2 linked regions of the Stegostoma tigrinum genome follow. The protein of the gene in region 1 interacts with the protein of each later gene in a pairwise test. Links are inferred from orthologs where the notes say so. Each region holds a gene or a part of one and is shown in the gene's direction. Other genes may lie near its edges.

Region 1 (8,013 bases):
GAGCCATTTGATCAATTACCCTGACTGTGGCTACAATAACTCACTTGTTAAAATATTGAGGACTCCAGAAGTGTACAATAAGGGACAGAGGTGGCATCAGTTGAATGTCTGATCCATTTTTGGCTCTGATTTTCAGATAGTAGCGTAATCTTTTTTTTAAAAAATTCATTCATGGGATGTAGGTGTCACAAACTGGGCTGACATTTTTTTGCCCATTCCTTGGGAAGTTTGAGCCACTGAAGTCTGTATGCTACTGGGATAGTCACAGTTCTGATGGGGAGGGACTTCTTGTATTTTAATCCAGCAATGTTGATCAAATGACCTGATAAGTCAGGTTGGTGTGTGCCTTGGAAGGGAAACAGCAGTGGGTATGGTTCTAATGTGATGCCTTGTCTTTTAGATGATAGAGGTGGTGGTGAAGGAGCTTTGGTTTGCATATGACCATGGAGCTGAGGCAGGCCATTCAGCCCATTGAGTCTGCTACACCATTCACTGAGATCATGGTTGATCTTATAATCCTCAACTCCACTTTCCTTTCAAGGGTTATATCCATACTTTTGGTTCCCTTACTGATTAAAATTCTGCCCATATCAGCCTTGAATGCACTTAATGGCCCAACTGCAACAGCCCTTTATGGTAAAGAATTACAGAGATTCGCTCCCCTCTGAGAAAGGAGGTTCATCCTAATCTCTTTTTAAAATACGCAATCCCTTAATCTGAGATTATGCCCCATGGTTTAACACTCCCACCGGTTTGGACGGGCAAACCAGGGCAGGACTTTTACACTTAATTGTAGTGTCCTGGGAGTGTTGCTGAACAAAGCGATCGTGGGGTGCAGGTTCACAGTTCCTTGAAGGTGGAGTCACAGGTAACAGGGTAGTGTAGAAGGTGTTTGGTAAACTTGTCTTTATTGGTCAGTGCATTGAGTATAGAAGTTGAGAGGTCATGTTGTGGCAGTACATAGAAACAAAGGAGATAGGAGCAGGAGGAGACAATTCGGCCCTTCCGGTTCAGCCACATTTGGAATACTTAATTTGCATGGATTTTGCCAGGATGTGACTATTTGAGCAATAACGAGAGGCTGAATAGGCTGGGGCTATTTTCCCTGCAGCATTGGAGGCTGAGAGGTGACATTTTAGAAGTTTGTAAAATTATGAGGTGCCTCGGTGAGGTGAACAGCCAAGGGTGTTTCCCCAGGGGAGCAGAGTCCAACGCTAAAGGGGCATAGGTTTAAGGTGAGAGGAGAAAGATTTAAAAGGGACCTAAGGGGTAATGTTTTCATGCAGCGGGTGGTGTGTGTATGAAATGTGCTGCTGGAGGAAGTGGTGGAGGCTATTACAATTACAACTTTTAAAAATCATCTGCTTGGGTATGTGAACAGGAATGGTTTAGAGGGATATGGGCTGATAGCCGGCAAGTGGGACCAGATTAATTTAGGATATCTGGTCAGCATGGATGAGTTGGACTGAAGGGTTTATTTCCATGCTGTACAGTTCTATGACTTTATGAGTCTATTTGCAGACTTGGCGGTAGTACATGCACTTTTCTTCATCCAAATCACAGATATATGTTGTGAATAATTTTCTTGCAGATGGTACACAATGCTGCCATTGTGCATCAGTGCTAAAGGAGTGAAAGTTGAAAGGGGTGTGACTCAAGCCACACTGTTTGTCTTGGATGGTGTTGAGCTTCTTTAGTGTTGTTTGAAATACACCCATCCAGGCAAATGCATTCCCCCAATTACAGATTCCCCTCCATGGCACATTCCATGGGATTTGGAAATATATTTGTGCTCCTTTATATTCACTGGATTAAAATCCTGGAGCTGCTCCCTTTAACAGTAATTGTGTGTGCACCTTCACCAAACAGGCTGCAAGCAGGAGGTTTCCGCACCAATTTCAGAACAACAACTGTGGATTGGCGATAAATGCTGACTTTACCACCAACAGTCATGTCCCGTGAATGAATAAAGAGAAAACTCCTTTAATAACCTGAAATGAATCAAATATTGAATGTTTTGTCGAGAAGATAGACAAATTTCAAGGGGACAGAAAAATGAAGTGAGTGAACTGGAGTTTGAGCTTCTGTTGAACTTCAGAGAGCAGAAGATCTAAAGACAGAGCTAAACCTTGCTGTCAGTTGTCATGAGCAAAATGATTGGAGCATTGAAGAGACATTTTAAAGAGAAACTTAGGATGAAGCTGGAGAAGAAACATGAATGGGAAAACATTTGATTCCCGTTGAGAATCAGAAACTTTGGTGATCTCAGTTGGCCGAATAGCTGACTTGTGATACCAACAAGATGAGCTCAGTTCCTACTTTGGCTGAGGTTACTGTGAAAGACTCTCCTCAAGCTCTCCCCTTGCCTGAGGCAGGTTAAACTAGCACTTGTCATCTCTCTCTTTACCAGTGCAAGCAGTTCCATGTTCTGGGAGGACAACTTTACCTTTGCATGGGATGTGGGCATTGCTGTCTGGGTGAGCATTTATTGCCCGCTCCTAGTTGCCCCTGAAGAAGGTGGTGATGAGCTGCTGCCTTGAACTGCTGCAGTCCATGTGCTGCAGAAAAACCCACAGTACTGTGAGGGAGGGAGTTCTGGAAAATGTGCTATAAAATAGGAGGCGTGAGAAGCAGGAATCACACCGGTTCGAGGAAGGAACTAGAGCATTATAAATCTGAGCAGACATGGATGAAAGAAACCAAATCCAGGAGTTATGAAGTTTATAGTAAAGAGTTAAAAATGTCTTCATGATACTGACATCATTCTTTGTCACGTGACTGGTAAAGGGTAAAACACATTAGCCCTGATTGAAATATGGTACAGATCAATCAAGGCGTTAGAGCATCTCGTTTATAAAATGATCGTCTCCGTAAATTATGGTCTGTCTTCTTGGTATGAGGATGATTTTAAAATTTTTTTTACAATAGCGCTGTCATTTCGCAAGGAGTCAGCAAGACACATCTCCACAGACAAAGCGCTTGCAAATATAGCGACCAGCTTCAAATAGCTGGGAGAATGCATCTATTTCAAAAAAAAGATTAATCCGTTTTCAAATTTCTGGCTGAAATGATGAATGTCACCATCAGGAAGGAGATAGAATTTCCACCCAGTTCAGGAGTGGCGGCCCTGTAACAGATAATGAAAGACTTAAGAGTTCAACCGTTTATTTACACAACGTGGGGCTTGAAATGCCAAATCCCCTGGTTTGAAATAAGTGCCAAGATATATCTGTTGATGATTAGACATAAGTTAGGCATCCACTTCCGAACGCTCATTTTGATTCTGGGTGCCTGAAAGATGCGTGTAAATTCATTCATTCATTCAGTCATTCATTCATTCAAGGCATGTCGTGTGACACAGATGCCGTTTCAGTCACATTAAACCGAACACATTTTAAACTGATCTGAGGAAGGGTCACTGGACTCGAAACGTTAACTCTTGATTTGTCTCCACAGATGCTGCCAGAACTGCTGAGTTTCTCCAGTAATTTCTGTTTCTGATTTCCAGCATCGCCGTTCTTTCGGTTTTTAAAGGGTCTGTGTTGCAAGTTGCACGTTAGCCCAGAACGGGCGAATGAACCTGTGTTCCGGGTGAGGGTCTGCACTGCACTAATCTGCAGATACACAGTGAGCTGGTTTAAATCTCTGGGTGGTTATTCTTCCGGCTTAATGTGCAGCTTTTAACCCTCATGTTGTAGACAATTTTAAATCTCTCAATGGGCCTGAGGGGCTTAAACCCGGCTCTTCTGGTCCAAAGTTGAGGACATTGCCACAAGAACCCTACTCCTCCCTCTATATTTCCCCCCGAATCGACCTATTTAGAGATATTATTAACCGCCACTGGAGCAGGTGGGATTTGAACCCAGATCTCCCGACAACGGGTAGGGAAACGATGACAAGAACCCCAGATTCGCCCCCCCCCCCTTTATGGACTGACATGACTCAATCATAATTTAAAACTAGTGACTTTTTTTTAGTAATATAGATGTAGGAGAGCTTACTGAAGCTACAGATGGTTTTTGTGCTACAGTGAAATAATGGCACACTTTGCCAGTTCCCAGTCTGTTAGGACACTCCCTTTTTGCAGTGATTTTTTTTGTATTCCTGATTTGAGAGAACTGGACCAATCAGACGTTTGTATTGTCAGATTTCGCCCCCCCCCACTCTTTTTTTCACTGCCTTGCTTTCTGATCTCAACTGTGTTCTTTCTAGCATAAGGTACGGATGTGTGCACATTTCAAACGACAGGCGGTAGGAATTGGTTGCAGCTGTCTGTCTCTGTCAGGTGAAGCACAGCCATGAAGTTGTCTGTGTGTGAAATGTACAGAGAGGGCCAGGATACTGCATCGCACCGAATTGTCAGTTTGCTCGCTATGGGATCCTTCGATTCTTCTGACTGAGCCTAGCCCCGGGTCAGCCTGAGGACATGCTGTGCGTCTTTCCAAGGACAACTGGATATTAACGCATTAAAACTGTGCATCTGCATCTGGACTAAAGGCGCTGGAGAGGCTTATGAGCACGGGTTGGAAATTCTGCACACGCACGCACACACACACTGTACTTTCTACACTCATTTGTCCAAGGAACCCAGAAAGGCGGCATGTTATTTATGCACTGGACTGGCGTGATTTAGGAACCGGAGGGGTTGACTCCAGAGAGAGAGAGAGAAAACAAACTGCAGACCTTCAGAGCTGCAAGGAAGAGGGGATACAGATTGTGAGCCATCGCATCTTTTTGTTTTCCCCGACCGTCATTCTGTTCCAACAGCTGCCAAAAAAAGTCCCCTTTCTGCGAGGGGGAGGCATGAAGCAGGTTGAATCAGAGGAACAGAAAGTGACACGGTAGGAAGTACCCCACCTTGGCGGAACACTGTAGAGAGAGCCGGTTCCAGTACGGGAGGCTGCTGTTTCCCAGGCACCTTAACTCCTACTCCCCTGGGGCGACTGCGGCGAGCTCGCAGGCGAAGGACGTATCGAAGAGTGGGGGGGGGGGGGGCACAAAAAATGCCAGCAATTCTCGTGGCCTCGAAAATGAAGTCGGGACTGCCCAAGCCGGTCCATACTGCTAGCCCCATCCCAAATGTCAGCGCCAGGGCTGTGCAGCAGTCTGGTTACCTGAAGCTGGGCAGCAAGGTGGAAGTGACCAGGCCCATGTACTCGAGCCTGATCCCACTCAAATCATCGCATGTGTTGGACAGTGAAGGGGAGAAGCTGCTACTCGGCAAGAGCAACACGGCAGAAAATAGCTTTGACACCCAGGTCAGAAAAAAAAACAAAACTGTGATTCTCTTTCAGTTCATGACTCTCTGGTTTAAAACAATTCATATTGTAGCGTTTAGCAAAAGAGGAAATGTGCAAGAGATTATCAAGCCGCGGAATATTCCTATTCTCGCTAATCATTTCAGGGAAGCGTTGGTATGTTGGGAATGTCACGGGGCAATATTCTGGGATGCAGATTTAAATCCTATCATAGTTAGTGTGGTTTACATTCAACTTTTAACATTTGGAATTAGTCTCAGATCAATGGTCATCACGAAGATACCTGTGTGGTTCACTAATGCTCTTCAGGGAAAGTAATCTGACATCCCTCACCTGTCCTGACCTTCATGTAACTCCAGACCCACAGGGCAGTGATGGCCCAGTAGTATTATCACTGGACTGTTAATCCAGAGACCTAGGTAATGTTCTGAGGACCCATGTTTGAACCCTGCTGTGGCAGATGGTGGAATGTGAACTCAATAAAAATAACTCGAATTAAGAATCTAATGATGGCCATGAGTCCATTGTTGATTGTCAGGGAAAACCCATCTGGTTCACTTAATGACCTTTAGGGAAGGAAACTGCCATCCTCAACTGGCCTGGCTTACATGTGACTCCAGGCTCACAGCAATGTGGTTGACACTTAACCGACCTCTGGGCAATTAGGGATGGACAGTAAATATGGCCTAGCCAGCGATGCCCTCATCTCATGAATCAATAAAGGGAAAAAAATGTGGTTGACCCTTAACTCCCTTTTGAGTTGTCCCTGCAGAACACTTTGGAAGGACAATATATTGCTTCATTCAATGGACGGGGGTGTCACTGGCTGGACACAGTACTTGTTGCCCATCTCTAATTGCCAGAGGACAGTTAAGAGCCAACCACATTGCTGTGGATCTGGAGTCACATGTCAGCCAGACCGGGTAAGGACAGCAGATTTCCTTCTCTAAAAGGTAATGGTGAAATGAGTGGGTTTTAAATGACATTTGGAAACAGTTTCATTGTCAGCATTTGACTTTTAATTCCAGGTTTGTGCTGAATTCAGATTGCTTCCGTTGGTCGTGGTGAGATTAGAACTATGTCCTCAGAACATTAGTCCGGGATTCTATATTACTGGCGCTGTAGCATTGCTTCTTGTATCATTTCCTTCCAGTGAATTAAGGCTCCTCTCTGCTGGTCTTGCCAGTATGCCCATGCCCTGTCACTGAATAAAGGGAAAATAAATGACAAAGCCACAAGGAGTGATGTGAAATGACAGGGCATTCAGTTTGATTTGGCCAGGTGCCCTGCATTTTATGATCAACGGCACATTCTACTGTAACTGCTGGTCAGTGTGACATATCCGGCTACAGTATGTAGGGTAGAGTTTTGGACTGGTGCCAGAATCTGAAGGGATTTATGCCTGTGACTAATATTGGAATAATTATTATTAGTGCAAAGATAGTGGCCGAGCCTTCTTCACAAGCTTTCTGAAGTTAATTGCTTGTTACCAGTGCACAATCGCTGCTCCCTCCAACGCACAGAAGCTGACTGTTGAGAATTCCTTCAGCTTAACCCTGTCATCTCTTAAAAAACAGGACTTTCAATGAAATTAGATGAGAGCATATTGCAGTGAGTAAACAGGACTAAAATTGTAAGGGCTAAATAATAATTGTGCCTTGATTTTTGCTTAGATGAGGTACAATATATCTCCTGCAATTGTGTAAACTAAAATGAAAGCCTTGTCAGATTTGTTCTGCAGTTTCATCTAGCCTTCTGCAGCCTTTCAAAGAAAGCTAAATTAGGTAATGTTTCAATTGCTCCTCGGAATAGTAACCAGCTAAAGGCTGAGATTACTCTAAGCTTCCATTTGTTATAATGCAGCATTACCAATTTTGGGCAGGGAAAATTGGGAGAATGTTGGAAGATATGGAAAAGAAAATGAAGCTTTTATGTCTGTTGACCCATCAAATATTGTATTACAATTTATAAAAAGACTGAGTGTTTTTGCTTTTTTTGTGTGCATTCCTGTGATGAGTGAAGGTGTAAATTGCTGTATGGTCACCATTTATGGCAGTAAGACTGTTTCTTTATTTGAGATCTGTATTCTCAATTGTAACTCAGAATCATATTTGAGAGCCACGTGTTGTTTGATGAAAAAGCATCAAAACATTTGCCTTGGCAAATTGGTCAGCTGGGCTCATTAAATTATAACTGAGGAAAGCAAACTCCAGGCTGGGAGGAGTTGGAAAGAGAGATGGCGAGTGGGGTACAGGGGAACTCAATATGAGAAAATGAAATGTGCCAGTATCACATTATTGAATTGGGATAGTTTTCAGGTCAGGGGGGTGGGATTAGGGGATCATAAAACATAATTAAAATGACCCCACAAATGGATGAGACCATGAGTAGCGTCAGGGGTTTACCTACAAGGATGTAAAGAATGTGACAAAAGACTTGCAAAAAACTGACAGTTTGCTGATTTGACCAGGGCAGTTGAGGATTTGAACACGTTAATGAAGAAATGAATTATGTTTCAATATTATAGGTAGCTCAGAGGCTTTAGAAAATATAGGTACAAGATTAACTGTAAGAAATATAAAGGCTTTGAAAGTGGAGTTGAGGATTTTCAGATCAGCCGTGATTTCAGTGAATTGTGGAGCAGAGCTGATGGGCTGAATGGCCTGCTTCCATTCCTACATCTTCTGGCTTTATGACTTATGCGACAGAGCGGCAAATACATTTAAAAGGGGGCTGTGGAACATACTTCCAGACT
Region 2 (8,005 bases), on another chromosome or scaffold:
AGAAGTGCTAGATGGAATTCAACCCAGGAAAGTGTGAAGTCATTCATTTTGGAAGGTTGTATTTGAATGCAGAATACAGGGTTAATGGCAGGATTCTTGGTAGTGTGGAGGAACAGAGGGATCTTGGTGTCCACATCCTCAAAGTTGCTACACAAGTTGATAATGTTGTAAAGAAGGTGTGTGATGTGTTGGCTTTCATTAGCAGGTCGCCTCATTATAGGAAGTATGTGGAAGCTTTAGAGAGGGCGCAGACGAGATTTACCAGGATGCTGCCAGACTGGAGGGGAGGTTTTATGAGGTAAGGTTGAGAGAGCCAAGGCTTTTTTCATTGATGCGATGAAGGATGAGAGGTGACTTATATTTCATATTATTTCATTTCATTTCATTGGTCCATTTATTATTCAATGTATATTTTCATGTCTTTATGAATGTTAATTTTCAAGTTAATGTTAGAAATTAAACAATAACACAAATGAGAAGGGTAAACTACTTTTCCTACACCTCCCTTAATAAACTATCAATAATAGAAATTTATTAAGTGGCTGTTTGTTATGGTGAAAATCCGTCATTATCACATTTGTAAAAATATTTAATTTTCATTCCCCAGGTCTTTCCTTAATATTGATTATAAACTAGTTGAATCACAGAACCCCAACAGTGTGGAAACAGGCCATTTGGTACAAGAAGTCCACACCATGCCTCCAAAGAGCATCCTATGTTGACTCCTTCCCCTACCCCTGCATTTCCCACGTCTAACCCTAATATCCCTGGACACTACAGGCAATGTAGCCTGGCCAATCCACCTAGCCGGCACATCTTTGGACTGTGGGAGAAAACTGGAGCACCAGAGGAACCCACACAGTCGCCCAAGGGTGGAATTGAACCAGGATCCTGGCGCGGTGAGGCAGCAGAGCTAACCACTGAGCCACCGTGCTGACTGAGTCTTGGCTTGCTGCTGAAGTTATTTTGAACTCCTGAAATGTATTACAAACATTGAAAACGACATGTAACATGTGTCTCACACCTTAGTTACAGAAAAATAGTTCTGTGAAACTTATACTTAACCCTTTGTGGATCTTAGAGCTGAGTCATGCCGACCAAGAAAAAATATATAACTTAACCATGCATTTTGATAACTTCCAGCTATTTACACGGGCCACATGAAGCTTTGGTCAAAAACTTTACAAAAATTAGTGTAGGCTGTCTTCTCTCGTGTCTTACCATATTTTGCAAATTTATCCATAACCACCTATACATATCTTATTGAGCAAATTTCAGTATATCATGTATTCACTGTTCTAAGCAAAATTTCTTCTTAGGCACAACAGTTGCAACTTGAAGATCGCCTTGATAAAGAGCAGTTCCCAAGACAAGTATTGGTTTCTGTCCTAAGATAACAAGGTGTAGAGCTGGATGAACACAGCAGGCCAAGTAGCATCGAAGGAGCAGGAAAGCTGACATTTCAGGTCTGGACCCTTCTTCACTTAAGGCTCTCTTCACACTAGCTCTAAGAATTAACTAGCAGTGGGAGAGGCCCACACTAAGTCCTCAGTCCAGCAGAATGGGTTGGTAGCTGGTATTTGGTAACCACCCTAGTAGGCAGCCTAGGCACATTGGGGGACAACCACCCAAGGTGTAACTCCTCCAGATTTCTCTCCCATCAAGGCATGGAGCACCATTACCCAAGGCCCTAAGCTTGGTGCTCCTGGTGCTTGGTTTTGATTAGATTCCCTACAGTGTGGAAACAGGCCCTTTGGCCCAACAAGTCCACACTGCCCCTTAGAGCATCCCACCCAGACCCATCCCCCTATAACCCATACGCTCCTGAACACTACGGGCAATTTAGCATGGCTGATCCCCCTAGCCTGCACATCTTTGGACTGTGGGAGGAAATTGGAGCACCCGGAGGAAACCCATGCAGACACGGGGGGAATGTGCAAACTCCACACAGATAGTTACCTGAGGCTGGAATCGAACCTGGGTCCCTGGTGCTGTGAAGCTGCAGTGCTAACCACTGAGCCACCGTGAAAGATTGGCTTTGTGATGGTCCAGGCTATGCACACCACGCTCTGTAGTTTCTTATGGTTCTGGGCAGAGCAGTTGCCAGACCAGGCCGTTAAGCACCCAGATAGTATGTTTTCAATGGTGCATCTGTGGAAGTTGGTGAGGGACCTTATGGACATGACAAATTTCCTGAGCCACATGATGAAGAGGCATTGTTGTGCCTTCTTGACCGTCACATCTACATGAGAAGCCAAGGGCAGGTTGTCAGTTATTGTCACTCCGAGGAACTTGATGCTCTTCACCCTTTCAACCTCAGTTCCATTAATATAGATGGGGACATGTTCTCCTACTTTCTTTCTGAAATCAATGATTAGTTCTTTAGTTTTGCCAATGTTAAGGGCCAGATTGTTTTCATTGCAACACGTCACCAAGCCCTCTATCTTCCTGTTGTAATTTGACTCACTGTTGCAATACTATTGGTGGAAATGCCAGAGCTGCCAGTTTCTGATTGGCCGACAGCTTTCCAAGTTCTTGAAATATGGAAGCCCTACCTCCATCCTATTACTGGGCCAACTGGCAATTAATGGCTGCACAGTAGCCAGTATTTTCCTCAATGAGTTTCTATTCCCTTCCTTTACAGCTGATGGAGTTCAGTATTTCATATACTTTGTCCCACAGTTTCAGTTAATAAGAAAATAGTTATGAGCACAAGCAAATTAAGGGTATTCAGTTAATGCCCATCACTCGTATACAATTAAACATGTTTTGCTGTCTTAATATTTTCAAACTGTTTTTCTAAAGTCTGCTCATAACCTAGATGATGTTTTTCAATTAAACACCGGGAAATCAGGAAAAAAATGCCTTTGGTCCTCTTCTCAGGCTTCAATCCACAGACACTGATTCCATTCCCTGGTCACTGTTTCAAAGTCTGCAGTCTAGTTGATCACACACTGAGCTTTCTGCCTATGACTTCGGTTCTGAGGAAGTCGCAAAACATTAACTGTTTCTCTCTCCACAGCCAAACCTGCTGAGTCTTCTAGAATTCTCTGTGTTTATTTCTACCTCATGTCATTTTCATCGCAAAGACTGCTGTTTTCTATCTCAGAGAAAATTACTACAGATGCTGGAATCTGAACTGAAAACAGAAAATGCTGGCTATCACAGTGGGTCAGGCAGTATCTATGGTGAGAAAGCAAGCTAACGTTTGGAGTCTAGATGACCTTTGTTGGTGGGTTTTATACCAAAGTTAGAGTTGGACTTGAGAAAGCAAAGTTCAGCTTCATACCCCTACAGCCTCACCTTAATGGATTTTGGGCTCACCATGGCGTCGAACTGTTTTTCTGCTACCTCTGTCTCTGTGCTCACTTTCTCAGTCAGGATTCACCACCACAATGCCCATCCACACCCCATTCCACTGATCCCTTCACCTGTCTCCAGTATTCACCCTCCACTTGGACCCCTTCCCTCGTTCTCTTTGTTAAAAACTGCCAGCATGGCATCGGCTATCTTAATTTCCTCTCACCCACACTAATCTGTTTCCTTCTGAAACTGCCGCACTTTGCTCTCTCAGCTCCAACCCTAATTTTGTTACCAAACTAAAATTACCTCACTTCCTTAAAGGTTACAGAATTGGTACAATGCAGAAAGTGACTCAGCCCATGGTGTCTACATCTGCTCCAAGTAAGCAATTTACTTAATCCAATTCTCCTGTCTTCTTCCCTTAACTCTGCATGTTGATCATTTTCAGATGTTTCTTAAAACCTGCTATAGAAATGTAAGGTTTTTAAAAGTTAAGTCATAAGATTAATTATACTGTAACATTATCAGAATTGTTTTGTTAAATGTAACTATTTACAAGGCAAAATAAGAGATAACATTTGCTGAAACCTTACAGACTCAAGTTCCAGTTGACATATCTCCTTTTATGCTCAGTACTTGGAGTAAAAGCACTATGACCCATTTACACCTTCCTCTTCCTCTATTAGTGTATACTTCTTTGGCTCAGTATATTGGTTTGTCTAGTTAGGCTGTCTTGAAGAATTTTGGAATGTTTTATAATATTAAAATCATTACAAGTACATGCTGTGGTAAATAGTAAAATTAAGTGTCTGGAATAGCAAAGATGCTCATTTCTCCAACACTTTGATGAGGGTATCACCACCATCAAAGTGTGGGTCTCTTTACTGCTGATGAAGGATTTGTCTCTGACTGACAGTCGAATGTTAAGCAAGGAGGCAATTGCTCACAGATAATGGGAACTGCAGATGCTGGAGATTCCAAGATAATAAAATGTGAGGCTGGATGAACACAGCAGGCCAAGCAGCATTGCTCACAACCTGCTTTCATGTTTTACGTGGTGTTCAGACAGATGTTGATTTTCAGATACAGTTAGAAATATTGTTCTGTTGGAAATGCAGAAAAGAAAGGGGATTGTACAGTGGGGAACTAACCGTATTCTCCTTAAGCGTTGAGATTACTTGTTGGCTGACACATCGGCATCCGAAGGTTGCAGGAACAGCAACTCATATTCCGCTTAGAAACCCTGCAGCCCAATGGTATCAATGTGGACTTCACAAGCTTCAAAATCTCCACTTCCCCCACTGCATTCGAAAACCAGCCCAGATCCTCCCCTCCTCCCATTGCATCAAAAAACCAGCCCAGCTCGTCCCCGCCTCCCTAACCTGTTCGTCCTCTCACCCATCCCCTCCTCCCACCTCAAGCTGCACCTCCATTTCCAACCTACTAACCTCATCCCGCCCCCTTGACCTGTCCGTCCTCCCCGGACTAACCTATCCCCTCCCTACTTCCCCACCTACACTCTCCTCTTCGGTCCGCCTCCCCCTCTCTCCCTATTTATTCCAGAACCCTCTCCCCATCCCCCTTTCTGATGAAGGGTCTAGGCCCAAAACGTCAGCTTTTGTGCTCCTGAGATGCTGCTTGGCCTGCTGTGTTCATCCAGCTCCACACTTTATTATCTTGGATCTACCCATTGTTGTTTACGTTTCCCTCCATTCTGGTGGGGTGCAACTTACAGGCCTTTAAGCCTCAAGAGACGATAGCAATATCTCACAGTACAGTGATCAGGGTGAGTATCTGGCATGGTAGCCAGTAAGTCTTGCAGCAAATTTTGGAGCGTGAAGGAGTGGCCAAGGGTGAAGATGACGTCACGCCGTCGACGTCGAACGAGACGCCACACTGCAGTGCATAATGGGACGGGCCGAAAGATGGCGGATTTTGACGAGTTGAGGGTGAGTGGCTCAGTGTGCGAGGGAAGAGGGAGTGAGAGAGACAGAGAGAGAAGGAGAAGGAGAGGGAGGGGGCGGGCAGGAGCAGAACCTGGAGAAGAGAAGGTGCCCAGCTCGAAACGGCGGGCCAAGGTGAAAGAGGCAAGGCATGACTCTGAGGAACGAGCTACCCCAACCAGGGAAGCGTTCCTGGTAATTAGATTTTTAAAAAAAAAATCCTCAGACCGGAACCTTAACAACTAATTGGCCGCCGCGAGAAAATTTATATGAAACAAATCAGCCGACCTTTAATAATCTGGACAGCCCACCTCGCTGTTGGTGACCGGGCCGTTAGGCCTTTGATTTGACAATTGCCCCCGCCTTTTCTTCTCCGGGCATCTACTCTGTGAGGAGGCTATCGCCGATACTTGAAGTGAATTTAGTCCTGATTAGTTTAAGTTTTCGTTTCACTAAACTGCGTTTTCGGTGATTTATTTCCTGCCGCGTTCTTTTGTCTTTTAAGTTTTAGACAGCAATTTACGTATCTTTTAATGCGGATGTTTTAAGTTATTTTTGCTTTCATGATTGGTTTGTATTTTTGATGGTGCGAATTCCTCCGATCTTTAGTTTGTTTTTTTGTATTATCTGAGTAAATAAAAGATTTAATATACAAGTATCTTTTGAATGAACATCTCAAAGTAAAATTTTACTCATAAAAGATTCCCCATTTTACAAACAGAGCTGTCTGTTCCCGTCGTCTTAAACTTGTGACAAATTAGCCATGCCAAGTTTCCCTAATGGAAAAAACCCTGGTCCTCCGTTTTTTTTAAACACTTGATTAGTCAAACATCAAGTGTCATAATCTGATTGGATATTTTGAATCCTAATAAGGGATATCTGCTGTTAGGTCAAGTTACCTGATTTAAATAAAACACTAGGTGATATTTGGGTCCAGCTGGGTGCAATGTGAGTGCTGCCTATGTCAAAAGCTTAAGAATATAAAGTACTGTCATTAATGTGATTCCATCAAACATTTGTCATTAGGTGTTAACAGTGAACCGATGGAAAACAAGGAAGAGGGTTGACAATGTTACCAGACTGCAAGCAACTTACATATGCTTAGTGCTGAAATAATGATTTACCTGAGTTTAAATCACTTGAAGGTCAGAAAGGTGTAGATGATAACCTAGTGCTAAAATGCAGTTTAGTGGCGAAATGATTTTTGGAAATGTGAAACTTAAGATAAGACCATAAGACGTAGGAGTGGAAGTAAGGCCATTCGGCCCACTGCATCCACTCTAAAGACTGATGGACATTTCAACTCCACTTACCCGCACTCTCCCATAGCCCTTAATTCCTTGCGAGATCAAGAATTTATCACCTCTGCCTTGACATTTAACGTCCCGGCCTCCACTGCACTCCGTGGCAATGAATTCCACAGGCCCACCACACTCTGGCTGAAGAAATGTCTCCTCATGTCCATTCTAAATTGACCCCCTCTAATTCTAAGGCTGTGCTCACAGGTCCTAGTCTCCTCGCCTAACGGAAACAACTTCCCAGAGTCCACCCCTTCTAAGCCATGAATTATCTTGTAAGTTTCTATTAGATCTCCCCTCAACCTTCTAAACGCTAATGAATACAATCCCAGGATCCTCAGCCGTTCATCGTATGTTGGGCCTACTATTCCAGGGATCATCCATGTGAATCTTCGCTGGACACGCTCCAGTGCCAGGTTGTCTGTCTTGAGGTGTGGAGCCCAAAATTGGACACTGTCTTCTAAATGGGGCCTAACTAGAGCTTTATAAAGTCTCAGAAACATATCGCTGCTTTTATATTCCAACCCTCTTGAGATAAACGACAACATGGCATTCGCTTTCTTAATCACTGACTGTACCTGCAAGTTAACCTTTAGAGAATCCTGGACCAACACTCCCAGATTCCTTTGTACTTCGACTTTATGAATTTTCTCACTGCTTAGAAAATAATCCATGCCTGTATTCTTTTTTCCAAAGTGCAAGACCTCGCGTTTGCTCATGTTGAATTTCATCAGCCATTTCCTGGACCACTCTCCTAAACTGTCTAAATGTTTCTGCAGCCTCCCAACCTCCTCAGTACTACCTGCCAGTCCACCTAACTTCGTATCATTGCCAGAATGCCCCCAGTCCCTTCATCCAGATCATTAATATATAAAGTGACCAGCTGCGGCCCCAACACTGAACCCTGCGGGACACTACTCGTCACCGGTTGCCGTTCCGAAAAAGAGCCTTTTATCCCAACTCTGCCTTCTGTCAGACAGCCAATCCTCAATCCATGCCAGTTCTGAGGAAGGGTCACCGGACCTGAAGCGTTAACTTTTTTTTTCTCCTCCACAGAAGCTGCCAGACCTGCTGAGCTCTTCCAGCAACTTTGTTTTTGTTCCTCAATTCATGCCAGTAGCTCACCTCGAATCCCATGGGCCCTCACCTTACTCACCAGCCTCCCGTGAGGCGCCTTATCAAAGGTTTTTGGGAAGTCTAGATAGATAACATCTAGTGGGTTTACCTGGTCTAACATACTTGTTACCTCTTCAAAGTATTCTAACAGGTCTGTCAGGCATGACCTCCCCTTACTAAATCCATGCTGACTTGTTCTAATCTGACCCTGCACTTCCAAGAATTTAGAAATCTCATTCTTAACAATGGATTCTAGAATTTTACCAACAACTGAGGTTAGGCTAATCGGCCTATAATTTTCCATCTTTTGTCTTGATCCTTTCTTGAACAAGGGGGTTACAACAG

What was found.
Region 2: the proteins of nav2a (region 1) and pias2 interact in binary tests that used the Homo sapiens proteins (3 or more experiments, as listed by UniProt). The two-hybrid records come from large-scale screens. The link is inferred for Stegostoma tigrinum from reciprocal best matches to the Homo sapiens genes NAV2 and PIAS2.

What each region holds. Positions count from the first base shown.
Region 1 is NC_081370.1:59,651,447-59,659,459, reverse strand, and holds the start of nav2a (neuron navigator 2), read left to right. Parts: upstream 1-5,003; coding exon 5,004-5,258; intron 5,259-8,013. UniProt on the Homo sapiens protein: Possesses 3' to 5' helicase activity and exonuclease activity. Involved in neuronal development, specifically in the development of different sensory organs.
Region 2 is NC_081354.1:161,550,073-161,558,077, forward strand, and holds the start of pias2 (E3 SUMO-protein ligase PIAS2), read left to right. Parts: upstream 1-5,003; 5' UTR 5,004-5,102; coding exon 5,103-5,252; intron 5,253-5,346; exon of another isoform or gene 5,347-5,441; intron 5,442-8,005. UniProt on the Homo sapiens protein: Functions as an E3-type small ubiquitin-like modifier (SUMO) ligase, stabilizing the interaction between UBE2I and the substrate, and as a SUMO-tethering factor.